Elephas maximus indicus: one gene and its partners. The protein of the gene in region 1 purifies or fractionates together with the protein of each later gene. This does not show direct contact. Links are inferred from orthologs where the notes say so. Each region holds a gene or a part of one and is shown on either strand. Other genes may lie near its edges.

Region 1 (6,874 bases):
TAACCGTAATACGAACGCCAAGTTCAGGGAATTTAACATGGCACAGTGGTTAAAAGCTTGGTTGCTAACCAAAGGTCATCAGTTTGAATCCACCAGCTGCTCCTTGGAAACCCTATGGGGCAGTTCAACCCTGTCCCATAGAGTCCCTGTGGTTCAGAATTGACTTGATGGCAACGGGTTAATATTGATACAATCCTATTATCTAATACATAGTGCTCATTCAAATTTTATCAATTGTCCTAGTCATTTCCATATGGCAGTTTTTTTTTTTTTTTTTTACTGATCCAGTATTTAATCTAGCCATCATGGTATTGCATCCAGTTGTCATGTCTTTAGTCTCCTTTAATCTGGAACGGTTCCTCAGCTTTTCTTTGTTTTCCATGAAATTAACATTTTTGAAGCATTCAGGTAATTTCTTTGGGTTTGTCTCTCTGATGTTTCCTCATGATTAGGTCCAGGTCATCCATTTTCAGCGGGAATATCACAGACATGATGACTGTCCTCAGTGCATCACGTTGTTTTCTTATTTGTTCTAGAATTGCTAGTCAGAGAGCATGGGTAGATATTTGTTCCCCTTCTGGTTTTAAAAGTCAGAAAAATCATTAAGAAGGAGTGAAGAACACACACATCCAAGTCAGAGTAAAACACATCTGTAAAGCATTGTTAAGGAGTCTCTGTGTGGTGCAAACAGTTCAGTGCTTGTAGCTGAAACGTTGGTGCTTCCAACACACCCAGAGGCTACTGTTCTTATTTAAATTTTTTTTTTTTTAGCATCGTTACTGGTTATAAACATAGGTACCAGGTCAAAAGTTTAGCCCAGAGGAGACAGACCATCTGGACGAGAAAGCAGTGAAGTGATAGGCTAAGGGTATCATGGTGACAGGAATCCAGGCCAAGCTTACGCTGGATGAGGATGAAGCTTTCTTTGGTTAATCAATTTGTCAATCACCATGATGTTTATTAGTACCTAGTATGCGTTCAGAAGCCCTAGCTTGCCTGCTAACCGAAAGGTCTGCAGTTCGAATCCACCAGCTGCTCCTGGGAAACCCTCAGAGGGCCACTATGAGTTAAGAATCGACTCGACAGCAACAGGTTTGGTTTGGTTCAGTATGTGTTCAGTACCATATGTGAATTGGTAGATGGGTAGAAGACATAAGGTATCGACTGAGGCCCTAATATGTGCCAGGCACTTTATTAGCTTTTGTAAACAATATAGGTATAACTCTAATGAGTGGTAGATAATTCCAGTGGGAAACAGATATTAACCAATTAATTAGACAAATAATTACAGTTGTGGTAAGTGCTCTGAATAAGCACTTGAAGAAATACTAGGTTATGAGAATGAAAGGTGAATATGACCTACTCAGGGAAGGTTTCTTCCTGAAAGTGACAATTTGAGATTTGAGAGATAAGTAGGCATTAATTAGTGAACGTAGGGGTGTATCAGTTACTAACAGTTTGGCTGCAAGTAACAGAAAACTCATGTAAATGGTTCAAATAAGACAGAGATTCCTCACCTGTCTTAGTTATCTAGTGCTGCTATAACAGAAATAGCACAAGTGGGTGGTGTTAACAAAAAAATTAATTTTATCACAGTTTAGGAGGCAAGTTCCAAATTCAGAACGCTGGCTCTAAGGGAAGGCTTTCTCTCTCTCTCAGTTCTGGAAGATCCTTGTCTCTTTGGCTTCTGCTTCCTGGTTCCTGGAGGTCTCCATGTGTCTTGGCATCTATCTTCATTTCTCCTGTGTTCCCTTGTTTAATCTCCCTCATATCTCAAAAGAGACTGACTCAAAATACACCCTACACAAATCCTGCCTCATTAACGTAAGAAAGACAACCCATTCCCAAATGGGATTATACCCACAGGCATAGAGGTTAGGATTTACAACACATTTTAGGGGAACATAATTCAATCCGTAACACAACCCCGATAACAGAAATCCACAGGGTAGTAGTTCAGGACTGGTGGGACAGCTACACAGTTGATTATCAGAACCCATCTCTTTCCATCTTTTTGCTCCCTCATCTTAGCACTTAGCTTCCATCCTCAAGGTCACCTCATAATCCAAAATAGCTCCTAGTGTTCTCACCATTACATATACACTTCAGGCATACAGAAGAAGCAAAGGGAGAAAGAAAAGGGTGAGCACCAGCTATCTGTCAATTCCTTTAAGAAGCTCTCCCTTCTATCTAACTGATTACACTTAACTTTAAGGTTGAGAAATGTAGCTTTTTATTTTATTTTTTTATATTCTTAATGACATTTTACCTGATTTAGAAAACAGTGCTTGTATAAAAATTCATACAGAGTTTCTAGAAAGCATTCAATTACCAAAAAAATATCTGGGCTCCTATAATATTCAGGAGCCCTGGTGGCATAGTGGTTAAGAGCTTGGCTGGTAACCAAAAGGTTGGCAGTTGGAATCCACCAGCCACCCCTTGGAAACCCCATGGGACAGTTCTACTCTCTCCTAGCCGGTGGCTAGGAGTTGGAGTCAACTTGAAGGCAATGGGTTTTTTTTTTTTTTTAAATAATATTCAGTTTTCTAAGGATGCCCTCGAATCAATGGTAAAATGTAGATTTTATGTGAGATTTCATTATTTTTGGTAAAGCTATTCTCATTTTATTGATATCCTTTTGGTGTTTAATACCCACTTGGTACAAGTCAGGAAAACATGAAGGCTGGCTCTATATCAAGTATTAATACTATTGTCGTATAGCTTCAGTATCATCTGTCTGCACAGCTAAGGAGGGTGAGAGACTCCCATTAGTCAGGCAAGAGGCAAACATCTGGAGAAAGAGGTGAGAAATAAGCCAACCATATACAGTGAGGCTGTGACACGGTCAGACTAACAACTCTCAGCATTTCAGTAGCCAATCTCCTTCAGGACCAAGGAAACCCCACTGGTTGGCTAATGAGTGCACATATTATCAGGAAGGACCAGTCCATGGAGTAGGGAATCATGCTTGGTAAAATACAGAGACACTGAAAAAGAGGGAGACCTCCTACATACGGATCGACACAAAGGCTGCAACAATGGACTCAAACAGCGACGATTGTGAGGATGACACAGGACTGGGCAGTGTTTCCTTCTGTTGTACACAGGGTTGCTATGAGTCAGAACTGACTCAAAGGCACCTAAGAAGAACATGTATCACAGGTCCCTGGGTGATACAAATGGTTTGTAGCCCTGGCGGTCTGGTGGTTAAGAGCTACAGCTGCTAAACACCGCCCCCCCCCCTCAAAAAGACAGCAGTTCCACTATTCACTGAGTCCGAACCCACTCCACCGCAATGCTTTTTTTTTTTCTTTACTAACCTAAAGGTTGGTGTTTTGCACACCCAGCCGGGCGATCTGCTGCCATAAAGCCTAGAAAACCCTGCAGAGCAGTTCCACTCTATAACATATGGGGTTCCATGAGTTGGCATCATCTTGACAGCAATGGTTTGTGGTTTGTTTCTTTTTTATGCACCAGATATTGTGCTAGGTTTATGTACACGATCTCATTTAGACCTTAGGACAACCCTACGAGGTTGGTACCATTATTACCTCTATTTTATAGATTAGGAAACAGACAAATAGCCTATTGCCTGAGCCTTCTCTGAATAAATTCCTGTTAATTAAACGCCCGATAAAGCGCTAAACTAACAAAATAACAAAGCTCTTTTCTGACCACCTGGGCTGAATTCTTCACGCGTGACATCCCCATCTCCTGCCACTCGGTGACGTCACAACCAACCTCACCACTTATGTTTCCTGCCAAACGCCACACCGCTACTATCTCGCGAGAGTCGCAGTTTCCGCCAACAGGTCCTGAACTCGCGTGCGGCGTAGAGCGCTTTGGCTAGAGAGGTTTGACGATTTCCCCAGGCTAGAGTTTCAACAATGCACTGCTTTCCTTGCAGCCACTCGAGATCTCGCGAGACTTTCTATTCCTGTCCTCCCCACCCCCAGGTTGCGACTGCGCAGATCGCCTCAAAGCAGAAGGTCGCGGTTGGAGGAAGTGGCGGCTTTAGGTCCCGTGGCCCCAGCGCCGTTAGTACTTCTCTGAAGCTCACCTCGGCCGTTTGCCGAGACAGCCCGCCACCAAGATGCCTCGAATTATGATCAAGGGGGGCGTGTGGAGGAATACTGAGGTGAGTCTCCTTTTCCCGCCGTCCGCTGCCCTCCGCCCCCTCCGGCGGCTTTTGCGCACGCGCGCGGGCGTCGGGGCGGTCAGGAAGATGCCCTGCGCGGTCTGCGTCTTCTCTGGGTGCCCCAGCGCTTGCTTTTTGAGCTCCTGAAGGACAGGGACCGTGATTAACCCGACTGAATACCCAGCCCGAGTTCACTGCCAGGCACTTGTTAGGTCCTCACTGAACATTTGCTGAATTTGGAGGCTGCTCCCCGCTCTGGTGGAACTCAGTGTGGAGGGGGAGAATGGGGCATCGGCGAGAGTTGGTTTTTCGGAGCACCTCCTTCTCGGCCTGGGCACCCGCGCCTCTCTCCAGTGCTCAAAAAGAGGAAAATAAAGAAGTGTTGTGGCCACAACTTTGTTTCTTTATTGACTCCCTGGCAGAGAGGAAGCAGCTTGAGTGGCAGGTTCAAGGATCCCGTTTATACCCGTATCCTTCTGGTTATCTGTTATCAAGGCATAACCTGCCTCTTCTCCCGACAGATGCCAAGATCCATCTCGTCCTATCTTCCTGGCACTCCGACTCAGCCTGGATAATAGATAGGACAGACTGTGTGTAGCAGTTTCTGCTTCCAGAACTGTAGTGGATTATGCCATTGGCGAGCCAAAGGACAGTAGAGGAGTGAAACAGAAATAATACTTTAGTGCAATTTGTATTCAGAGCGCTCTGAGTTTATCTCTTTTCGGAGCACATTTTACATTCTGTACCCTCTGCTTCAAATGTCCTCCTACTGCTTGGCACCTTGAGCATTCAGACCTCAACCCAGAAACTTGTTGTAGTCTTTGCCCACTTACCAGAATTAATTGCATCCTCAGTGGTCTCACTGTACTTCTTTAATTAATTTGTTAGCTTGCTTTGTCGTTTTTTAAGGATCATGTCATTTCTTTGTGCTGCTGGGAGAGTTTCTTAACCTCTGAGTCCCACTCTCCTCATTTCTTTAAATAGGAGTGATAATAATATATACGGAGCTCTGGTGGTGCAGTGGGCTCGGGCTCAACGGCGGTTTGAACCCACCAAGTGGCTCCTCAGGAGAAACACCTAGTGATCTGCTCCTGTAAAGATTATAGCCTAGAAAACCCTATGGTGCAGTTCAGCTCTGTCACATGGGGTCACTAAAAACCCCAAAACCCAGTGCTGTCGAGTCGAATCTGACTCATAGCGACCTTATGGGGTTACTATGAATTCAAAATCCACTTGATAAACCAAACAACAGTACCTAGCTCTTTAGGATTAAATAAGTTAATACATTTGGAAAATTTAGAACAGAGTCTGGCAGATAGCACTGCAAGAGGACAAGGACTAGGTCTTAGTGTTCCTTGGATCTAGGCCAATAACCAACATGAAGTAGGTAGCTTGGCAAATGTTTGGTGAGCGAAACTAGGGGGGTAAAAGCGGTTGCCGTGGAGTTGATTCAGAGGCATGGCAACCCCTTGTGTGGTACATAACTGCTATATATATAGTTAGTTGAAGATGTGTTTAAGTACAGCAGTACTGTAACAAAGTTCCAAATGAAGTCAGTGAAAAGCCTGCCTGACAGCTTGCACTGAGGGAACCAGGCTATTTAAAGTGGAGAAGAGATGACTTCTGGAGGAGAGACATACGTACAAAATCAAGTAACAACAGGCTTCCTATACAGTGCTCAAAGCCCTGCAGTCTTTTTTATGTCTGATGATGAAGAGGGGGCACAGTGCGGTGGCTCAAGCAGAAGGCATGTAGCTCAGGTTGAATGTGGAAAAAGTCCTAAAAGTAAAATGACCCAAATGCATTCATTCATGACTGCATTGTCCCTGGATTCTCTGGCTCAGCTTGCCAGGTGGCTCAGCATAGGGACCCTGTGGAAATAGTATCTAAGAGACTGGGGGAGGTTGGAGAGAGAGCTTACTGGTGGGGTAGGGGAGAAATATGTACTTCTTAGGTTAGATCTGGGACATGGATTCTTGAGTCATGGTGAGAGTTAAGGACTGGAGAGTAAATGTCATGGATTAGCAGGAGTCAGGAGGCCTGGACTGAAGAATGGATTCACTCGAGTCTTGATTTGCTTCTTGAGCGCTGGGAGGTCTATTTAATTCTTTTTCCCCATGTATATAGGACCTAGTACAAGGTTAAGTGTTCAGGAAATGTTTTTTGAGCTAACGAATACATGAATGAGCTATACCCTTTTGAAGAGAATAATGGTTACACATTGGAAGATACTTTTAACCTACCAAGTATGGTTTTTTGGATTGGACTGTTCCCACTCCCAGTTTATGGGGATGGGAGAATGTGCATGTGAGGGAAGGTGGGATGTTCTTCTGATGACCTTCTTAATTTCTTGGATTTTGCAGATTCTGGCTTGCTGTTTATCATTATAGTAAATAAGATGTTAGGACCTCTTTTTTTTAAACCTAGGATTTGTAGGTGTGCATGTATGTATCCTTTTCCTTGAAATTTTTCAGCAGCCCTGACAGTTAATTTAAATTTTGTCTTTTCTCATTTGGACTTTAGTGATTGAATGTATTATATTTCTTTGACAATTCTTTTAGGATGAAATTCTGAAAGCAGCAGTAATGAAATATGGGAAAAACCAGTGGTCTAGAATTGCCTCGCTGCTGCATAGAAAATCAGCAAAACAGTGCAAAGCCAGATGGTATGTACCAGTTAATGAATAGAAAACAAAACGACCTTAATTATGATGAGGGAAAATGTCAGTTCTTTAAC
Region 2 (7,314 bases), on another chromosome or scaffold:
CACATGTTGGCAGAATCTTTAGGATTACCACCAGGTCAGCCACATTGTGTCCTGTGGTCATTGTTCCCTTTTTATATGATCCTACCTGTCGGACTTCTTCAATTTGCTGTTGGAAAAGGGATTGCGGAAGAAAAATTTAGAAGAAAAAAGTCTGCCTTGTTCTTTTTGGAGCTCTATTACAACAAGCTTCTTTATTACCCAGATCTGGATGCAGCAGAGATCAAATCATATCCCCAAAACAACCACATGAGAGCCTGCTAAATCATGGATAACTGATAACGATGGTATGTGTCTCATTTCCAAGATCAGTACTACAAAGGAATGCCACTGTACTCTTCCACTTTAGGCTGGGATTTGGATAAAAGGCAACTGAAGAATTCAGACAGGAGCCAAGGAAACATCCATGGTACTAAGCCCGCCCTTTCCTAGAACTAAATCAACAAAAACTCACCACTTCAAATGTCCCTGGGGCCACGATCAAATTGTCAATCACATTGTTTATTTTTGTCACCAGAGAAAGGATAGAAGCCTGAAAAACAGCATGAAACAAAAATAACCTAAAGTGAAAAATTACAGTTTCTCAAGGTTTGAGTATTTTTCTCTAATCCCTTCTATACAAGCTGAGTCGGTACGAACATTAAAAAAAATCCCATTGCTGATGAAGTGATTCCAACTCATAGCGACCCTATAGGACAAGGCAGACCTGCCCCATAGAATTTCCAAGGAGCATCTGGTGGATTTGAACTGCCAACCTTTTGGTTAGTAACCAAGCTCTTAACCACTTCACCACCAGGGTTCCAGTACCAACATAAGGGCTTTAAAAACAATTTGACCCTGCTGGCCTTCAATATGCCAGAACAAATTTTGATCCCATAGATTCCCCCAATAAAAATCTGACTGCATATATAATCTGTTCATGTATTCACCTGGCTGTTTCCACTCATATGAGAAATGAGAATAATTAAACCTTCTGCAGGGTTTAGGCTTTGATAAAATTATTTTTAAACTCACCCATATCTACTTTTCTAACCTTCTCAGGGAAATCTCAGAAGGGAAGCCAAGAGAACATACCTGTTCAGCAGAATTGGGAGCAAGGTCCTGATTCCTCTTCAGCAAGGCCTCACTGAAGGATGTTTCATCAGGTGCTGGCTTGACCCGGGGGAAGGCCATTTCACACTGAACCAGAAATAAACAACTATTACATGTTCTATTTACCAAAAATGATATACAGGAAAGACTTATTTCTGCTGCTACAACAGAAAAAATGAAAATAGAAAATTCGGCACTTGGTTTTATTCCTGAAGATGTTAATACACGGATACAATCTGTAAGCAACAGCCATAATTTAAGCTTAAACTACCTTATTATTAACAGATAAGCCAGGAATACAATTAATTATCCAAAATAAAGATTATAATCATATTACTGACAACAGTAGCCAAAGAATTCTCTCTTCACCCTGCTGACAGTTTATGTGAAGCAATCTACAAAACCCCATACCCATTCACAGACCCCTTTTCCTACTCTACCCACCATTTGACTTCATTACAGGGAGATGTTGGGCTCCATCTCTACATCTACAGATAAACTGTGGCCAAGAAACTCATATTAACCCAAAGTAGTACTCACCAAATAGAAATCAAATGGGATATGAGGCACAAAGGGCCTGAACCTAAAACAAAAAAAAATAGTCTAAATTATTCACAACATAGAAATCAAATCAAATGAGATTTCTGGCACAAGCCAAAACAATGTTTTTATGTTTCCTTCCAAAAATTTGGTTTTCTAGCACCTCTTACATGCTGAAATCAAGAGGTACGTACATCTTTTAGCATTCCAGAGGTCACTGAGCCTCCTAAACATATAAAACTTTGAGAGAAAAAAATGATCACTCAAAATTATAATTGCATACTGCACCCCAACCTTTCACCCAACCACTGACAACTGGTAAATATGATCATATATCGTGGTTATAATGTATGAGGAATTTTGAAAACATGTCTGTCCTCCGAATCAGTGAGAGTCTGCTGGGGGGTATCCTTGTTAGGAAAGTGGGGTCAAACTCATCATTTAACAGGACAGCATGTATTGCTAAACCATAGATGGACCTCACAAAAGCGGACCATTTACTCTTATTTAGGTGTTTCAAACAGGAACCAACCAGTGCAAAGATGTTAAAAACTGGCACTCACCCTCCTCCTGGACCACCTCTGGAGCCAAAGCGCCCACCCCGACCACGGCCTCTGTCACCCCTAGAAATGCATAAGAGGATTTTATTTTCTCTTGACTTCAATGAAAGCATCTCCACTCTACCAGCCACATCATTTCAAGCTAGCCTGCCTCCATCGCTCTAAACCTCCCTTGGGAAGTCAAGCGACCCCCATCCCAATCATTTACACTTCTCCCCCAGCCCCTCCCCTAGGACCTCCTCATTCTGGATAATCACAACCCATACGCCAGGTAATGACGGGGCCCAGATACCGAGGCCCTACGAGAAACACACCATAATCCCTAGGACACGCCAATCCTAATACTTCTGGGACTATCAATAACATAGGCGCATATACTCTATCAAGCACTTGGCATTGAGGATGAATGCGACACGTTCCAGCCTGCTCAGTCTCAATGGGGGGTACTCCTCCCGGGACCTGAGCACACCCCCGTTACCTAAGCCCCTAAAGGACGAAGGTGTCAAACCCGCCTCCCCACTTCCAGGACCCACCCCATTCCCAGGCCCCAGTTTCCCGACCCGACCGGCCTCCGACCCCTCCCCGTCTTCCAGGACAGGAGTTATCAGGTCGTAGGCTAGCCCTCCGATATGCGGCCTCTTCAGCTCCTCCGACTTCCCCAAAATTCCAGTCAAATACTGAAAACATTCCTAGGGCACCCTGGCCCCCTTACCTCATGGCGCCCTAAATCCCGAACAATGGAGGCCACACAAACCGCCTCTTCCCTCCCGAGGAGCCAACAACTGTGGAGGCCGCTTGCCGGCGTGTCCCAACAAAACCCGGCGCGATTGGCTCCCGCCTTACCCCATCGCTTACGCCTATTGGTTTATCCTGGCAAACCGGAGAACCAATTAAAAAAAAAGCATGGTGTGTCAGGAATCAGCCAATAAGAGCAGGTTTAACAGCAAAGGCTACAATTTTTGAACAGACGCTAGATGGCGCTGTGCAACAAATCAGACACCCCCCCCCCCCCCCCCCCCCAGTACATTGAAAACTTTCTATATGAGTTTTGTGACACAGCCTTACCAGGTAGCAGAGTGGCGCAGCGGAAGCGTGCTGGGCCCATAACCCAGAGGTCGATGGATCGAAACCATCCTCTGCTATCCGGAAGCTTTTTGATTGCCCCAGCAAGAAGAATTTGCGTTATTTCAATTTCTTTAGTAGATGTGAGCTTCATGTTTCTAATTTCTCCTGCCTCAAAAATGCGGCATTCGGAAGCTGTGTTTAACACTAGCAAGTGAGATGGGGATTTTAGCTATTTCAGGCAGCAGTGCAGAAAGCTAGAAACTTGAGACAAGAGAAGCTAATTTCAGAGAGGAAAAACCCTGAATGGTGAGGGATTACAAAGAAAACAGAAGCACGTCTTGGAGAGATGACTCAGATGATGGGACCCTGGGAAGCGGCAAGGAGAAAAGTAGCGAACCATCCCTATTCTCCAGCTTCGCTCCAGTTCTCGCCTCACTTTACAAATTCTCTGGAATATTTCATCCTTCAACCAGGTTTCGTCAACAACATGTACGGATTTACTGTATTTGCATTTAAATCCATCGTATTACTATGTGCTCTCTGTTGTCTCACCTGTAATCCCTTTTCTCCCCTTTCTTGCCTTCTTTTGCATTCATAGAGTAACGTTTATTATTCCGTCCCTCCCTCCCCCATCAATTGAAAATTACATACATTTTTTTCTACTTCTTAATGTTGAGTAATGTATTATGCCCATGTAACCACCACCCAGGTTAAAACAAAGAACATTTCCATGACCTCCGAAAATCACTTCACACCCCTTTGCCCTGCCCCTAGAGGCAATCACTATTCTGATCTCTATTATTATGGATTAGTTTTTGTCGGTCCTTGAACTTCATATAAGTGGACTTATACTGTATGTACTCTTTTATGCCTGGCTTCTTTCGCTCAACTCGTTTTGAGATGCTCGCACAGATTTGCATTGATCAACAATTTATTCTTTTTTATTTCTGAATAGCATTCCCTTGTGTAAATATATCACCATTTGTTTATCCATTCTCCTGTTGATGATGTCAGGACCGAAAACAGGCTGAGACATGCAAACACTTTTGGGTTGTTTCCATTTGAGGTCATATATGTAAAGCTGCTATGAACATTTTTGTAAAAGATTTCTTGGGGTCCTATACATTCATTAATCTCGGGTAGGTGTAGGTGTGTATATGTACAGTATTTAAATTCTATATTTTAAGTCTCAGAAGACTTTAATACTTATTTATTAAATTAATGGTCATTTAGAGGAGCCCATATGTGTGCCATTTTAATGCTCTTTATACCTTCCTGCATCTCCAACCTTCCATCTGGGGTAATACTCCTTCCGCCTGAAGAATACCCTTTAGAATTCAGTGCTTCCCTACTGGTGGCTGACTCTCTTGGTTTTGGTTTGTCTGAATATATTTTTATTTCACCGTTGTTACTGAAGGATATTTTCTCTGGGTATGGAATTCAAGCTTGAAAGTTATTTTCTTGCAGCACCTTTACAATATTATTCTACTGTCTTATGGCTTCCATTTTTTGCTGTAGAAAAAACACTTGTCAGTCTAATTGCTGCTCCTTTGAAAGTAATCTATCCTTTTTTTTTTCTTTTTTAAATATTTTTTCTTTGATTTAGTTTTCTACAGTTTTATTCTGCTGGGTCCAGGTATGGATTTTCTTTTTCTTAACCTTGTTTGAGGTTTGTTGAGCTTCAAGAATCCATGGCTTGACGCCTTTCATGCATTTTTAAACTTCTCAGCCACCTCTCTCCAAATATTGCTTCTACTCTATTATTTCTCTCCTTCCTGAAATTCCAAGTAAAGGTGTGTTGGCCTTTCTCACAGTATCCTCTATGTCTCTTTCATGTTTTCCTTTTCTTTTTTGTTTGTTCGTTTGTTTTCCATGCTTTATTCTGGGTAGTTTCTTCTGTCCTTTCTTCCAATTCACTAATTGATCCTCAATCAAGTCTAACCTGCTGTTAAATGTATCGATTGATCCTTAATTTTGGCTTTTGAATATTTTGGTTCTGGATTTTCTACTTACTTTTTTTTTTTAATAAAAGCTCATCTTTCATGAAATAAGAATCATTATATAGCTTTTAATGTCAAATCAAAGAACCATACTATTGGAAATACAGCACTGTCCCATTCCCACAAAAGTAATCTATTTACTTCAGGTTAACTCTTCTCCTAAATTTCCCCTAGGAGTCCAGCCTTTCGGGGTCGGTCCTAACCTAAAACAGGAAGGTAGTTTACCAGAGTCCTCACCTTTGGGGATATTTGCATTCCAATTTTTGTCTCACTAGCCTTACCACCTGTCTGTCACTTTGTCATATTGTGGTGACTTGCATGTTGCTGTGATGCTGGAAGCTATGTCACGAGTATTTCAAATACCAGCAGGGTCACCCATGGTGGTCAGGTTTCAGTGGAGCTTCCAGGCCAAGACAGACTGGAAAGGAAGGCCTAGCAATCTACTTCTGAAAATTAGCCGGTAAAAATCTCCTGGATCACAACAGAATAGTTTCCAATATAGTGCTGGAAGATGAGCCCCCTAGGTTGGAAGGCACTCAGAATACACAGTGACTGCAACAATGGACTCCAGAATGCCAAGGATCGTGAAGATGGTGTAGGACCGGGCAACCTCCTATTCCATTGTAGATGGGATCGCCATGAGTCAAATCCACTGAAAAGCAGCTAAGAAAAACAACAGCCCGCCAGCCTATTTTCTGCCACCAGTTCTGGATCAGCAAATGAACCCAGGGCAAAAACAGCCCTACAGCTGGGCTCAGCTCTTTGTTTTCTTGTCCTTTCATCTCTCAGACCAACAATTCCTCACTATCTTATTAGTTCTTTGATTTTTGAAAAAATATTTCTTTCAGCACTTGTAGTTGTCTCCAGCTCAGTTATTTAGTCCAGCGATATTGAAAGAGGAGCTCAATAACCATATTTTTCGCAAATAACCTGCACACCTAAATAACGTATCCACACATATAACGCACATACTGCCTAGGAAAATAACGTGCAAGGGGGTTGCTCCGTTGGCAAAAACATAATACGTGCATCATTTGCATAACAACTCAGGGCTAAACTGTATATCTAGTCCAGTCATTTCTTCTGACTCCAGCTCCACTAACCTAGTAGCTAATGAGACACCTCCATTTGGGTATCCACAGTCTTCTCAAACTCAACAGACTAAAATTGTTTTCATCCCCACCCAGCCTCAGTTATTTGTAAACTGTCTTCCCTTCCCAAAAATCTAATTGATTCTACTTTTGAAACATCTCCTATCTACCTCCACTGCCTCTGGAGCCCCCCTTACAGGATACAGACATTAAGCAATCCTTAGTCTATCACTGTCATGGATTGAGTTGTGTCCCCCAAAAATGTCTGTCAGCCTGGCTGGGCCATGAGTCCCAGTATTGTGTGATTGTCCACCATTTTATGTGATTTCCCTATGTGTTGCAAGTCCTATCACTATGATGGAATGAGATGGATTAGTGGCAGTTATATTGATGAGATATACAAGATTAGATAGTGTTTAAGCCAATGTCTTTGAAATATAAAAGAGAGAAGCAAGCAGAGAGACAGGGGAACCTCATACCACCAAGAAAGCAGCGCCAGGAGCAGAGTGCGTCCTTTGGACCTGCCGTTTCTGCACTGGGGTGCTCCCAGACCAAGGGAAGATTGATGCATCACAAGGACCTTCCTTCAGAGCCAACAGAGAGAATCTTCCCCTGGAGCTGCGCCCTGAATTCGGACTTCTAGCCTAGCGGACTGTAAGAGAATAAATTCTCTTTGTTAAAGACATTCACTTGTGGTATTTCTGTTATAGCAGCACTAGATAACTAACACAGTCACACAAAAGCTTTCAGGGTCTGCCCTTAGCAGCAGCTTCTCCTCCTCAGTCATTCCCGTGTGCAAACACCTTACGTGCTAGGTCAGTCTGAAAACAACTCCTACCATGACTAGGCAGGTGATGTGAATGAGTGAAGCAGGGTAGGAACTTGGATGAACTAGGCTCATCCAAAGGAGCTGAGGAGTAATTTGTTCCAGTTGATTGATTATGGGGGCTGCAGGACCGATATTGCCTG
Region 3 (7,672 bases), on another chromosome or scaffold:
GGAAGAAGCTATTTATATTTACAGTTCAACTGATAATGCCAACACTTGTTACTGTACAGCGTATTACAGGTTTTGTGGTTGCAAAAAGAGTTATGTAGTTGAAAAGTTTACTGGTATTGCTAAACCCACCTAAGTCTAAACTAAATAATGCTCTCGTCTGCAATTTGTAAATTAAAGTGTTTTAACACGAATCAATTATGAATATTAGTTTAAAGGGAAAGGTGAGACAAAGTATTCCCATCTAGATTATCTACACCAATATGCTGGAATTCTATATTTTGCTTTCATTTTGTCTTAAAAAAAAAAAAAAAATGAAATAGCAACGCTATATCAGTCACACAGAGGACATGCAAATTTAGCAGTATTGATATTATACTCTATCTGGTTGGAATTAAAGACACCCTGTACCCACATGTACACCAACAGCAGGTCACACATTAACAGTTGTAACTAAGCACTATGACAAATTAGCCAGTTCTTCCCACATTAGTCCCTATTAAAACAAAAAAAGGGGGAAAGGAGCAAAATAAATTTGTTACAAAATGGGCAATGTAATTTTGCCACAATTGCCAAATATAAAGAGCAAAGCAATTGTAGCTAAAGGTAACTGCATAAAATGTTTGCAACTGTTTTAAGGTTGATGTATATAATCATTTTTAATCCTTGTCTTTTAGTATAAGGTCAATACTGCCAATTTCATCTGTGACAATAGCACTTGGAGTCATACCATTGCCTCCATTATTGATCTGATCCTCCTCAATCCTCCTTTTGACAATCCTAAAATGATTGAAATGTGCTCCACAATCCTTAATCCAAAGCATTCTTAATCCATCTCTTCAGATATGTCTACAGAAAGACACATGAAAAGGCAAGATAAACATAAGAACTTCCCCAGGTAAGGTAACCACAAACACCCCCAACATCCCAGTTCACACAAACCAGAGCAGAATAGACATTTACACAATATCACAGTCTGAAGAGCATGGAAAGTTAACTAAATTTAAACAATCCTGTCTATGACATCACTTAAAATACAATTTACCAAAGACATGAGGGGAATGTAGATGTTAGGAGCAAGGGGATATTACACAAGAATGCAATTCAACACTTTTCAGCCCATTCTGAACAAAACATTTTGAATTAAAAAATGAAAAGATTGTACTGAGTAAAGGAAAACTGTATACAACATAGGTTCTACAAAAAGTGTCACCAATCATCTTATGTACGAGAGCGAGATCTGCTATGACGGGGAGAATAGCGTGGTGATCCTCTGCTTCTCCTTGGGGAATAACTGCGACTCCTGCTGTTGCTTCTGCTACGGCTCCTGCTACGACTACGGCTTCGAGATCGAGATCTTCCGTAACTTGGACTTCTGGGCCCATCAACTTTAACCCGGATGTAGGCAGTTTCTCCCTATTGGATAGACAGAACTTTCGATTGAAACATCTAAGTTTTCACCTGTCTTCAGGCATGCTGAATGAATACAATGTAACTAATACCAGAAATCTGGTACTTTACTTGGACACCCTTGCCTGAATCCTTACCTTCAAATTCCACTGTTTAAGACCACTGTATCCAATTCTGGCCAAAGAAAAGAATTAAGTGTATAACCTACCTCATGGGATCTAAACTTAGTGTTATCCAGTTTTCGAACAGCATAGGTCATATCTTCTTTCCGTACAAACTCCACGACACCAGTGCCATCTCGGTAAACATCAGCATAACATACATCACCTGCTTCACGCATGTGATCCTTCAAATCTTGCCAGCTTCCACTTGGAGGCAGTCCTGAAAAGTGATTTATTTTTTCAATACTATCCCAAATTTCACGTTAAATTTATAGCGTACACCAGAACAAATACTTAGTGAACGTACTTGAAAGACTCTAGAATCCAGAATCCGAACTGATTTGCAAAGAATACGCATCTTCCTACTCTAGTGCTGCAATCTATTTTGCTGAATTTCTAGTAGTTATACACGCTTACTAAACTCACCCAAAAAACTAATAAAGGATCTGATATGAAATTTTCAGTTGTCAAACCAGTCATGCATGGAAAACTTTAAAGCAGCTCTTGCCCCTTTTTTCATGAACCCACAAAAGCAGTAAGCTTACCAGAGACAACCACTCTGTTCTCAGACCGCCTGGACGGTGGGCCATAGCGGCCTCGGGGAGCTCCACCGCCTCCACCCCCGCCGCCGCCGCGGCCAGTGCCACGGCCGCTTCGAGGAAACTCCACCCGCAGACGGTAACCGTCGTAATCATAGCCATCGCGACCGTACACCGCATCTTCCGCGTCTCTGCGTGATCACAGGAGGCAAAAGGCATGAGAGAAGGAATAGGAAGGGGAAGCCTAACTCAGTCGGGACGTAGCGGCCCCCCGCACATGCGCACCGAAGGCCAAAGAGCCCACATGCGCTACATAATAGGAACGGCCCCTCCCCCACCCAGAAGCACGCCAGGCTCCCGACAACTACAACAGCCCCCGGCGCCTCAGTTTCCCGCTCCAAGCCTGCGAGTCGGCTCCGCAGATATCCACGGGGCCCAGCCACCGGAGAAACTACGCCGACTCGACCCCTTACTCAACTCCTGCATGGGCAATAGCGCCTTTCTCCTCTCAAAAGAGCCTCCCCTAACTATTCCAACCTATTTCGTAAAGACTGCAAGCCCCATGCCGCCTCACCGCGGGTCCTCGAACTCAACGAAGGCGAAGGGCGGTCCCCCGCGACGATTCTTGAGGTCGATGTCGCGGATAGCGCCGTATTTGTAGAACACGTCCTCAATGTCCTTGGTTCGGATGTCTGGAGGTAAGTTACCCACGTAGATGCGGCAATCGTTGTTCCCTGCTGGGCCACGAATCACACCACCTCCCGACATGGCGGCGACGAAAAGCGGCGACGAAAAGCGCGGACTCGAGAACAGGCCTTCCCACCAAGCTTAGCGCACGACAGAGCGAGCCCGCAGCGACACCACGTCTCCCGCGGCCCCTCCAAAATGGCGCCTTTATCTGCTCGGCGCACGGATATGGGGGGGAGGGAGGAAGAGAAGCGGATGGAAGCAGCTATTCGATCTCAATACGCACGCGCAAGTGCGTAACGGACGCATTTGAAAGGACGCATACGCACCCGCGACGTGACCTTCCGCACGAAGAGAAAAAAGTTCCCCGCGCTCCCCAGCTGCGGAGCAGTTTGCCAACGGGGTGATAAGTTGTGTGATAAAAATTAAATACAGAGCACTCGTTAAAGGGGCTATTGATGCCTGTCAGGTCGTCGAGGATAGTCAGGGTCTCCAGGAATGAGCCTCTTTTGGAGCATTTCGGCGCCTTGCTAGAATTTGGTGAAACCTAGCCTAGAGCCTTGTCCCATAATGCTCCGCGAAGTTAACGGCCTTTGGCGGGAAAGACTCCCGGGGGCGGAGTCAAAGGGGGAGGGATCGGCCAGTTGCTCCGGAAACGGGCAAGAGTGCGCCTAGTCCAGGAATTGCGACGCTGGGGAGTTAATAGAGCGCCAGGGCGTAGCCTTGCCTTCCCACCCCGCTGCTTGCAAATAAGCCATGGGCTGTTTAGACACCTGTCTGATTTAGGGGAGTGCATTTCAGGTTCCTTAGTAAGTATTCTGCATTAAGTACCGTTCCATCTTCGGCTCAGAACTTAACTTTGAATAGCTCGATTCAGCACGCCAACTGTTACCGGCGGTATGTGTAGGTCGTACCCTGATCAGTCAGGGGCGGCACTTGCCAACCAGGAAGGGTGTCAACCACCGACCGCACCGCCTCTCATTGATGGCCTATTGCTAGGCCTAGCGGAGAGGAGAGGCGAGGCTCATGAATACTTCAAAAATGGATTGTGCTTGTCATTTTTCCTCCTTTCAAAGAACTAGAAAGAAGTAGTATTTGTAAAATCCTGAAGTTAATCTTGTTTTCAAAAGTTTCCCCTATTAATTATATGCAAGATTTTAAACTCATTCCCATTGGAGACCACAGTTGTTGGGACTGTGATCCTCCTCGAGTGTTGGTTCAGGGAGATAATTTTTTACATTTTTCTAGAGACGCCTGAAATCTGAATTTTTATGTGAGATGTTGGGCTTATTTAAAATGTTGGAAATAAGTTCAAATATAAAAAGCCCTGCAGTGATAAATATGCTAAAAGAGATCTGCACTCTTAAGTTTAAGGATGATTTTCTTCATATTATGTATTTATTTACAACAGCCCTTCTCCCCAAGGATGCAAGGCAGCTTACAGGGATACCATAAAACATTAAAACTGGATGAAGAAATCAGGGGAATGGGAAAATAAGGGGTTAGGGGATTAAGTTGAAGTCCCGGATAAGGTTAGTACACAAAATGTCTGCAGTAAGAGCCTGCAGATAGACTGCAGATTTCACTCTGGTCTTCCTAGAGGCCGCAGTAAAGAAGGGTAGACAAGTATTTTCAAAACCCAAAGTGCCTTGATATAAAAATAGATTAATTGTACAGGAGAAGGGCATGTTTTCTTAGTTCAAATGTCTATCTAAACCAAAAACCAAACCTGTTGCCATCCAGTCCATTCTGACTCATAGCGACCCTATAGGACAGAATAGAACTACCTCATAGAGTTTCCAGGGAGCGCCTGGTGAACTTGAACTGCTGTCCTTTTGGTTAGCAGCCGTAGCTCTTAGTGATCTGAAAATATAAATTTAGTTTGAAATATTGTGAGCAGGAATGCTTACTTTGGGTCTGTAGATCCTCAGCAGATGCATGGAGGACCTGTAGTAGTCCTTGGACTCTTTGTGCTGTGCATGTACTTTTTTCAGGGGGAAAAAAAAAAAAAAGTAAGAGGATTTGAAATTTTAATCACATTCTTAAAGGGGTCTGTAGATATAAAAAAGGGAAGGAACCTCTGAAAATTTTAGAGGAAAGGATAGATTGTCTATCCTTCAGGCTGTCCTTCAACAATATTTTTTGAAACTGAGGTTTTAATAAAAAAGAATCTGATTTTTTTTTTTAATAGAAGAGGCTGATTAAAAAAGATAGCATTTCAACAGATGTATTCAGTTTCTAGCACTCTTCCATTCAGTTAATAGCAGAAGAGGGTTTTAAAAAATTCTTTGGCATTATCATGTACTCATTAGTTCTTTTAACAGTTATTTGCTAAGCACACTTTTCTTTCTGTTCCAATTTTTATCTATTGGTGTACAATTACTCAGGCCTGTCTTGATTCGTGCTAAATCAGTGGTAATTGAAGTGATTTAAACATGTTGTTGTTAGGTGCTGTTGAGTCATTTCCAACTCATAGCAACCCTGTGTACAACAGAACAAAACACTGCATGGTCCTGTGCCATCCTCACAGTTGTTGTTATGTTTGAGCCCATTGTTGTAGCCACCGTGTCAGTCCATCTCATTGAGGGTCTTCCTCTTTTTCATTGACCCTGTACTTTACCAAGCATGATATCCTCCAGGGAATGAACCCTCATGTTGTTGTTGTTAGGTACCATCCCATCGAGTTGGATCTGACTCATAGCGACCGTTTGTATCACAGAATGAAACACTGCCCGGTCCTGCGCCATCCTTACAACCCTTGTTATGCTTGAGCCCATTGTTGCAGCCACTGTCAATCCATCTTGTTGAGGGCCCTCCTCTTTTTCGCTGACTCTCTACTTGACCAAGCGTGATGTCCTCCGGGGATTAATCCTTCCTGACAACATGTCCAAAGTATGTAAGACGCGGTCTCACCATCCTTGCTTCTAAGGAACGTTCTGGTTGTACTTCTTCCAAGACAGATTTGTTCCTTCTTTTGGCAGTCCATGGTATATTCAATATTCTTTGCCAACAGCATAATTCAAAGGTGTCAATTGTCAGTCTTCCTCATTCATTGTCCAGCTTTCACATGCATATGATGTGATTGAAAATACCATGGCTTGGGTCAGGCGCACCTTAATTTTCAAGGTGACAATTTTGATTTCAGCACTTTAAAGAGGTCCTTTGCAGCAGATTTACCCACTGCAACGCATCTTTTGATTTCATGACTACTGCTTCCATGGGTGTTGATTGTGGATGCAAGTAAAATGAAAGCCTTGACAACTTCAGTCTTTTCTCCGTTTATCATGATGTGGTTTATTGATCCAGTTGTGATTTTTGTTTTATGTTGAGGTGTAATCCATACTGAAAGCTGTGGTCTTTGATCTTCATCAGTAAGTGCTTCAAGTCCTCTTCACTTTCAGCAAGCAAGGTTGTATCGTCTGCACAACGCAGGTTGTTAATGAGTCCTCCTCCGATCCTGATGTCCCATTCTTCTTCATATAGTTCAGCTTCTCAGATTATTTGCTCAGCATACAGAGTAAATAGGTACGGGTGCTTTTAATTTCAAGACATTTTCATGCCGAAAAAATTAGAAAACCGTGCATTTGTTTTGGTTTATTCTCGTTTGTCCAATTTAATGAAATTATTTCTGATTTTGTTTGGTTCAGAGGAATACAAGATAAAGCTTAATAGATGTGAATAGAGTATTGTTGTTTATCTATTAGCCTCTTTTTTATATTTTAATTTAACCAAATTGTAGGTGATGGGCTTAGGGCATGGTAGGAAGAGGTCTCTTAGGATAACATTAACTTGATGATTGCTGCAATTAAGGAGGTGATCTTAATGTTATCATGTCCTGGAGTTGATTAAGATATTTCAGTCTACAAGCGTCAACATACAATAATGCAAATAAACCAAACTATTTATTCATTTAGGAACTCTGGTGGCCCAGTGGTTAAGCACTAGGCTGCTAACTGAAAAGTTGGCAGTTTGATCCCACTAGCTGCTCCGAGGGAGAAAGTTGTGGCAGTCTGCTTTTGTAAAGATTATAGCCTTGGAAACCCAAACCCTGTGGGAAAGTTCTACTTTGCCCTGTAGGGTTGCTATGAGTTGGAATCAACTCGATGGCAACGTGTTTGGTTTTTTGGTATTTATTCATTTGTTGGGGGGTAAGGCATATTTATTTTTCATGACCCGGATGCTGATATTGTACGTGCCAACAATGTACAACTGGTTTGGCATGTCTGGAAGGCAAATCGGACAGTTGCTTTAGTAAATGAGGAACCAGAACAAAGTGAGATGAGTCATCCTAAATCATTCATGGATGATGAGACCTAATAAATGATCCCTGCCCCACTACAGATTTAAAAAAACCCTTTACCATCGAGTCCATTCCAACTCATAGCAACCCTACGGGACAGAGTAGAACTGCCCCATAGGGTTTCCAAGGCTCTAAGTCTTTACAGAAGCAGACCGCCACGTGTTTCTCCTGAGGGTTGGCTGATACGTTCAAACCGACAATGCTTTCATTAGCAGTTGAGCGCTTTAACCACTGTACCACCAGGGCTCCACCCACAACAGAGTAAGTATACCTCTTCAAAGACGAGGAAATCCATTTCCCCTGAATTTTGTATCTCTGTTCCCTGGACAGTGCTGGGTAAAGATTGGCAATTTTATTTTTATAGGCTAACTTCACACAAGCGTTCTCTAAATACTGTACTAGACAATTGAAAAGGATTCTGCTGACCAAATTACAACCTCTTCAGTTTTGCCTCGTGAGAGTACATCCTTCTGTTAATTGGATTTGAGACATTTCTAAACTCTTCAATTACTGATCACAGGCAGTCTTATGGATTACTTTCTCACAATCAGTTAATTTATTATGTTTTTTACTAGTTT
Region 4 (7,451 bases), on another chromosome or scaffold:
TTATCTGTCTTTATTTTACTTAAATTGCACTATTGATTTGTTTACTCATATACAGTCTGAGTCCCTTACTAGAATGTAAGGCCTGTAAGAATGAGTTTACTTGATTCAATACTATAAAACCAACATTAGAATGGTGCCTAGCACATGGTAGAACTTCAAGAAATATTTACTAAGTATATGAATGAATAAATAAACAAATGGAGTCAAAAGTCTTAGGCTTCTTCCAAAGTCATTTTCAGTAAACCATATGTAAGTAATATACAATGATAAAGAGCTACAAAGACACCAAAATTATGTACTTCTGTTTCATTTCTTTTCACTTTTCTTTACCTTCTCTTGGAAGAAGCATTCACAGAAATGATCAAAAGGCAGGCAGCCTGCCAGAGAAGCAAAGGGCTTTGGCAATCCAGTAAACAGGTAACAGAGCCTGAATTATGGTCAGAATATACTCTAGCCTTCCAGAGGGTCTTCACTTTGTTCTTCCCTGAAAAGGAAGGCCTTTGCATAAAGTCGAACACTCCCATGGGGAGATGAGAGGCTGGTCTTCAGATGAAAAAACAAAACAAAACAAAAAACCCAAACCCACTGCCTAGGAGTCAATTCCGACTCACAGTAACCCCACGGGACAGAGCAGAACTCCTCCATCTGGTTTCCAAAGAGCCGCTTGTGGATTTAACTGCTGACCTTTTAGCAGTCAAATGCTTAACCACTGCACCACCACGGCTCTAAAGAACCTTCAGATAGCATAGATAAAATAGACTGCTAATTATATGTACAGCAGTAAGTCTACCAGATCTCAACTAGTGGCAATTTTGCCCCCCTGGGGTATCTGGCAATGTCTAGAGACATTTTTGATTGTCAAGATTTAGTGAGAGGGGGTGCCACTGATATCTGGTACATAGGGGCCAAGGATGCTGCTAGACATCCCACCATGCACAGGGGTCCCAAACAACAATGAATTATTCAGACCCAAATGCCAATAGTGCCACTATTGAGAAATCCAAGTTTACCCTTTTCCCTTTACTAAAGAAAGTATATTAAATGCAAGTAATGTTAATATACCCATAACTTCGAATACACTCAAATATAGAAAATTAAATCAGTTAGACTTTAAACCTTTAGTATTAGTAACATATCACTGGTGACATCAAGACTGACACATCAGTATGTCAAGACCTTGCTGTTAACATTCCCTGGTAGATCTTGGAGTTAATATAAATTAACACCTCACCTATAAACTTGAGACTATCTGTAAAAATCAAGTTAGCTAGGACTAATTCAACAAAAAGGAGCCCTAGTGGCGCAGTGGTTAAGCACTGGGCTGCTAAACAAAAAGTGGGCGGTTTGAACCCACCAGTGGCTCCCTAGGAGAAAAAACCTGGTGATCTGCTCCCATAAAGACTACAGCCTGGGAAATCCTACTGGACAGTTCTATGTCACATGGGGTCACTATAAGTTGGAATAGACTCAATAGCAGGCAACAACAATTCAACAAAATCAGAAAGCCATGTAGTCCCCAAGACCAGCCATTTAAACATTACATTGTGTCAACAAGCACACAATACCCATGACATCTCTGGTATTTTTCCTGTGCATCCATTTCCAATTCCACCTTTTCCCCAAACAAATCTTTCCCTCATAGCTCTACTAGCCTCTATCACAGTGCCTTGCACCTAGAAGGCACTTAACTGCCTGTAACATTTACTAAAGAAAACTCTCCAGTCCATAAAGCTCATTCCATCTAACTCTTTTCACTCTTATGGTTTGTGTTGCTCTTCAATCGTTCATATTTGTATGCATTGCTCCCCATTGTCTCTGAAGTCAGACAGTCAGATTTCCTTCTGCATACACCACAACTCCTAGGATGAGTCAGGGCACCCCATTTAAAAAACAACAACAAAAAAAAACAAAACCAACCAAACCAAACCCACTGCGCTCAAGTCGATTCCGACTCATAGCGACCCTATAGCAGTTCCCAAAAGAATCTTCTGAATAAAACATGTTTCGGATTCATAATTGTCATCTGCCAGGAAAAATATCTGAGGAGAATAAGGTGTGTTAAGAGAGCTCAAGTCGATATCCTAAAAGGATTACTTCTAAGGACCAAAAATTCTAAGAAATTCTAAGGTCCAAAATTACAATCCTCTTTGACACTCGACTTTCCTGTTGAATTCGCATGGCAAAGTTTTTCTACTTAAATGGGGCAGCATGGTCGCGCACTAGTAAGGGTTATGTAACTTCTTGGGATCTCCCACTTAGAGCATCTTTTTCTCAAAGGCGGGGACCCTTTACATATGGTTACCAAGGCAACCGCGAACAGCAAAAAATCGGAAGCGGTTCTATCTAGGGAAGAAATTCTAAGGTCCAAAGTTAAAGCCGGGCGCAGCGGCGCATATTAGTAAACAGCGGCCACTGCTGAGGCTAGTTCAAAATCTTTATCCACTTCCAGGCCTCTTTCTTAGGAGACCTTGTTTCGGGAAACGGAATGGACAGAAAGCCCTCGGCAGCAAGCGGACAGAAGTCCGCGTAGTCGCTTCCCGCCGGCTTCGCTCCGCCGAGACAAGCAAGCAACTGCCCACACTCCCCTCTCTTCTACCCAAGCCGCCGACTTGAGGTAGCGGTCTCCACGTCCCCCGCGATGCTGAAGCGAAACACACGTGCGACTCCTCGCATCTGGGCCGGAGAACTATTGGCCACTCCACGGCTCCGGCCTCGGGGAGGGGGCGACCCCAACCCGAGCAGACGCTCGGGAAAACCCACCCTCAGGCGAGGCCTAGTCGCCGCGGCGGCTGGCGGGAGGGCCTAGCCACGGCCTTGGTCTAAGTCGCTCTCTTCCCAAAGCCGGGTCCCCGCCCGGAGAGCGTGGACAGAGAAATGAAAAAGATGGGTCGTCTCAGACCCTTCCGTATCGAGGGCTCGAATCAACAACCCACCTGGTGAGCGCCATCTTCTTCCGCTTCTTCCAGCCCGAGCGACAGCAGCGCGGGGCGGACCTTCCCTGGCGAAGGGGCGGGGAAGGAAGGAGCGCGCAGTGCGCAGCCGCACCTGCCGAAAGGCCTTCTGGGCTTAGTAGTTATTTGATAGGGAGTACAGTTCGGGTCTCTATTTCGGGTCTCTTCTAACCAGCCTAAGCGGTCCTCCTTAGATGATCTCATTAGGAAGAGTAAAGACTTATCTGTACTCTATGATATCATAGGGCGTTCGCTAAGCGAAGTAACAAAGTTAGAGAAAGCTACCTTTTTAGCCACTTTTTCCCCCACTCAGTCCCATCACCGTCGTGTAACACGTTGCCATGGAATTGACTCTGACTCGCAGCGACCTATAGGACAGAGCAGATCTGCCCCATGGGGTTTCCTAGGCTGGGAAGGAGCCCTGGTGGCGCAGTGGTTAAGCTCTCGGCTGCTAATTGGAAGATGGGCGCTTGGCTGCTAACCGAAAGTTCGGCAGTTCGAACCCGCCAGCCGCTCAGAGGGAGAAAGATGTGGCAGTTGGCTTCTGTAAAGATTAGAGCTTTGGAAACCCTATGGAGCAGTTCTACTCTGTCCTATAGGGCCGCTGTCAGTCGGAATGGACTGAAAGGCAATGGGTGTGGTTTGGGAATCTATACAGAAGCAGATAGCCACATCTTTCTGCAGAGGAGCAGCTGGTGGCTTCCAACCTCTGACTTTTTGGTTAGTAGCCCAGCGCTTAACCACCGCTCCGCCAGGACTCCTGTTCCCCTAGATTAAAAAGAAAAAGAAAAGCCCGTTGCCATGCAGTCTATTCAGACTCATAGCGATGCTATACGACAGAGTAGAACTGCCCCTTAAAGTTTCCAAGGAGCGCCTGGTGGATTCAAACTGCCAACCTTTATAGTTAGCAGCCATAGCACTTAACCACTACACCACCAGGGTCCTCCCCTACTGTCCCAAATACAAAAACCTTCAGGTGATAACCACGTTAAATAAAAGGTAACAGGGTTTGAAACAATAGGATAGTCAGAGATTAGCGAATGGAGAGTTCTCGGACGTTCTGAAAACATTGACGTTCAAAACTTTTTCCTTTAAATGCTATCCCCTTCACAAAACCCTCTCCTGGGAAAGGCATTTTGTGATCTTCAGTAAATTACCTTTTGAAAACTCCTGATATACGTAGTATATATGTAGGTATGTTTTTTAGGTACACATAGTTTATGGATTCATAGTGAAATAATAGTATAAACGAAATCTGCTTCAAAATATTGGGAGGAGGAAAGAGTGTGGAGCATAGATGAAACAAGATTAGCCATGAATTTTGATCATTGTTGAAGCTGAGTGATGGGAAAGTGGATGTTTGTGATATTATTCTCTCTACTTTTATATACGTTTGAAATTTTCTGCACGCATACAGAAAAGTGCATACATTGTATGTGTACAGGCCTTTAGATTTTCCCAAACCACAGCAGTGTGAACAGCCCAAGAAGCTTCCCTCATCCTTTACACTCACCCTTCCTCCCAAGAATCCTCATAGTCTTTGATCTTCACGTTCTAGTGTGATAAGAGCATCTTGTACATTTTCTGCCCCAGATCTGGAGTTGGTTCTCTGTCATTTGCAATTGAAGGGAATTTACTAATGTGTTTTCTCTGTGCTCTGATAGTACTTGTGTTTCACCTATTTTTAACAAAGATCACATTCTATAGATTTTGATGGTTTACCTGACTGAGAGGAAGATTAAATCTCTCTTTGTCACCATTGTATCTCTATCATTGAGCCTGAGCAGTCTTGGGCAAGCCTTCACCCCTCACTGGATTTTGGTTTCCTCAGCTGTAAAAGGATAAACCAAACCAAAAAACCAAACCAAAACACCAAACCGGTTGCCATTGAGTCGATTCCAGTGCAAAAGATAGGGTGGGCTCAAATAATACCAGAGATCCTTCTGGTGTCAATATGATTCTAGATACTTTATTTCCTTAGTTTTTAAAACTTCTAAAGAGGTTTAAAATTTTCCCATTCCATGAACTATTGATACATTCAACAACTCGGATGAATTTCAAAGGCATCACTTTCACTGAGTGAAAAAAGCCAGTCTCAAAAGGTTTCTTATTGTACGATTCCATTTATGACATTTTGTGTTGGGGGGGAAGGAATTAGGAATTTTTAGGACTTATTTTTTTTTTATTTAAAATTTTTATTTATTTTGTTGTTGAGAATATACACAGCAAAACATACACCAATTCAAGTTTCTACATGTACCATTTAGTGACTTCGATTACATTGAGTTGTGCAACCATTATCACTCTCCATTTCCAAGTTGTCCCTCCCTTATTAACATAAATTCACTATCCCCTAAGATTCCCATCTAATCTTTCAAGTTGCTGTTGTCAATTTGATCCCTTGTAGATAGTTCTTAAAAGAGCATAAGGCTCAAGGCAGACATTTTTTAGATTTATGTCATTTTTGAAATGACAAAACTAGTGACAGAGAACAAATCCGTGGTTGCAAGGAATTAAGAGTAGGCGGTAGGCGTGATTATTACAAGGGAGTTTTTTTTTTTTTTTTTAGTTGACAGAACGGTTCTGTATCCTGATTGTGGTGGAGGTTACGGAACCTGTAAAACCAAAAAAACCAAACCCATTGCCATTGAGTTGATTCTGACTCATGGCAATACCATGTATTACAGCAGAGCAGAACTGCTCCGTAGGGTTTTCTTGGCTGTAATTTTTATGGAAGGAGATCACCACGCCTTTCTTCTATGGTACCACTGAGTGGATTTGAACTACCAACCTTTAGGTTAGTAGTCAAGCACAAACTGTCGTCATGGATTGAACTGTGTCCCCTCAAAATATGTGTCAAATTGTCTAGGCTGTCATTCCCCATATTGTGGTGTTGTCTTCTGTTTTGTGATCTGATGTAATTGTCCTATGTGTTGTAAACTCTAATCTCTGCCTGTGGTTAATGAGGTGAGATTAGGTTAAGTTACAGAGGATTAGGGTAGGATGTAATACCCTTACTCAGGTCACAGCCCTGATGTAAGGGGAGTTTCCCTGGGGGTGTGGCCCACATCACCTTTTATCTTAGAAAAGATAAAAGGAGAGAGCAGCAAGCAGAGAGAAAGAGAGACCCCAGGCCACCAAGAAAAAGGCACCAGGGCAGAGCATGTCCTTTGGACCCAGGGTCCCTGTGCTGAGAAACTCCTAGGCCAGGGAACAATTAATGACAAGGACCGTCCCCCAGAGACCACATACAGAGAAAGCCTTTTCCAGAAGCTGGGCCCTGAATCTGGTCTTCTTGCCTCCTAGGCTGTGAGAGAATAAATTTCTCTTTATTAAAGCCATCCATTTGTGGTATGTCTGTTACAGCAGCACTAGATAACTAAGACATCTACCCAGGGCTTCCTATGAATCTATACATGAGTTGAAATTCATAGAACTGTATGCCAAAAAAAATGAGTTTTACTATATGATAATTAAAAAAATAAAAATTTAACAATGCCTGGTCTAGCTCTTACTATCCTGCTGTTAGAAAAGTCTCCTTAGCCTCATTCAGCATCAGCAGCATTTTCTCTTTGGCACTGTTTCATGGCACTCTTTGGGTTCCTAGAGCCATAGGAAAGGTTACAGAAGATCAGTATTTTTAAGAAGAGTAGAGGGACAAATGACATACTAGTTTTCTATGCTACGTAACAAATTAACACAAACTTAGCGGTTTAAAACAACATCCATTTATTAGCTCACAGTTCTGTAGATTAGACGGCTTGCACATGGTGACTGGGTTCTCTGATCAGGGTATTACAAGGCTGAAATCAAGACGTCGGCCAGACTGAGTTCTTGTCCGACGTTCTAGAGAAGATCCATCTCCAAGCTCCTTCTTGTTGATTGCATAACTCAGTTCCTTGCAGTTGTAGGTTGGAGGTCCTTGCTTCCTTGTTGGCTGTCAGTGGGGGTGCACTGCCATAGCTTGCTTTTGTGTGGCCTTTCTAGCCATGGTCTTGTAACTCCCACCCAAGTGATTGGGTGAGACTGTGTGGTAGGGTGGGATTGGTGGAAACGAAGGGGATTGGTGGAAACCCTGGTGGCGTAGTGGTTAAGAGCTATGGCTGCTAACCAAAAAGGATGGTAGTTCGAATCTACCAGGCTGGCCTTGGAAACCCCTGGGGCAGTTCTACTCTGTAGTATAGGGTCACTATGAATAGGAATTGACTCCACAGCAAAGGTTTTTTGTTTTTAAAGGGAATTTGTCAGGCTAGCCATCCCACTTGGCTTGAAATGAGCCACCCCAGAGATGGTAAAGAGAAGATCCTACCACCACTAAGGAAGAACAGCCAGGAGCCAAGAGCTCATCTTTTGGACCTGGAATTCCTGCTCTGAGAAGCTCCTGGAACCAGAAGACCGAGAGAGAGCAAGCTGTGACCTTGAAGATGGTGCAAAGTGGTGGCAGGAGACTGCAGTGGGCTTCCAGGCCCACAGAGAGAGAAAGCTAAGTGCCTCTGGACA

What was found.
Region 2: the proteins of CDC5L (region 1) and ILF2 purify together in Homo sapiens (affinity purification with mass spectrometry; 4 studies listed by BioGRID and IntAct, with this or other methods). This does not show direct contact. The link is inferred for Elephas maximus indicus from reciprocal best matches to the Homo sapiens genes CDC5L and ILF2.
Region 3: the proteins of CDC5L (region 1) and SRSF1 purify together in Homo sapiens (affinity purification with mass spectrometry; 4 studies listed by BioGRID and IntAct, with this or other methods). This does not show direct contact. The link is inferred for Elephas maximus indicus from reciprocal best matches to the Homo sapiens genes CDC5L and SRSF1.
Region 4: the proteins of CDC5L (region 1) and SNW1 purify together in Homo sapiens (affinity purification with mass spectrometry; 5 studies listed by BioGRID and IntAct, with this or other methods). This does not show direct contact. The link is inferred for Elephas maximus indicus from reciprocal best matches to the Homo sapiens genes CDC5L and SNW1.

What each region holds. Positions count from the first base shown.
Region 1 is NC_064819.1:108,943,913-108,950,786, forward strand, and holds the start of CDC5L (cell division cycle 5-like protein), read left to right. Parts: upstream 1-3,855; 5' UTR 3,856-4,093; coding exon 4,094-4,138; intron 4,139-6,699; coding exon 6,700-6,803; intron 6,804-6,874.
Region 2 is NC_064821.1:191,504,758-191,512,071, forward strand, and holds the start of ILF2 (interleukin enhancer-binding factor 2), read right to left. Parts: upstream 3,009-7,314; 5' UTR 2,907-3,008; coding exon 2,902-2,906; intron 2,253-2,901; coding exon 2,193-2,252; intron 1,673-2,192; coding exon 1,630-1,672; intron 1,177-1,629; coding exon 1,072-1,176; exon of another isoform or gene 1,039-1,071; intron 530-1,038; coding exon 452-529; exon of another isoform or gene 203-451; intron 107-202; coding exon 4-106; intron 1-3. UniProt on the Homo sapiens protein: Chromatin-interacting protein that forms a stable heterodimer with interleukin enhancer-binding factor 3/ILF3 and plays a role in several biological processes including transcription, innate immunity or cell growth.
Region 3 is NC_064837.1:36,040,933-36,048,604, reverse strand, and holds the start of SRSF1 (serine/arginine-rich splicing factor 1), read right to left. Parts: upstream 3,013-7,672; 5' UTR 2,876-3,012; coding exon 2,682-2,875; intron 2,299-2,681; coding exon 2,114-2,298; intron 1,789-2,113; coding exon 1,616-1,788; intron 1,414-1,615; coding exon 1,219-1,413; 3' UTR 1-1,218. UniProt on the Homo sapiens protein: Plays a role in preventing exon skipping, ensuring the accuracy of splicing and regulating alternative splicing.
Region 4 is NC_064828.1:90,536,249-90,543,699, forward strand, and holds the start of SNW1 (SNW domain-containing protein 1), read right to left. Parts: upstream 3,008-7,451; 5' UTR 2,948-3,007; coding exon 2,934-2,947; intron 1-2,933. UniProt on the Homo sapiens protein: Involved in pre-mRNA splicing as component of the spliceosome. As a component of the minor spliceosome, involved in the splicing of U12-type introns in pre-mRNAs.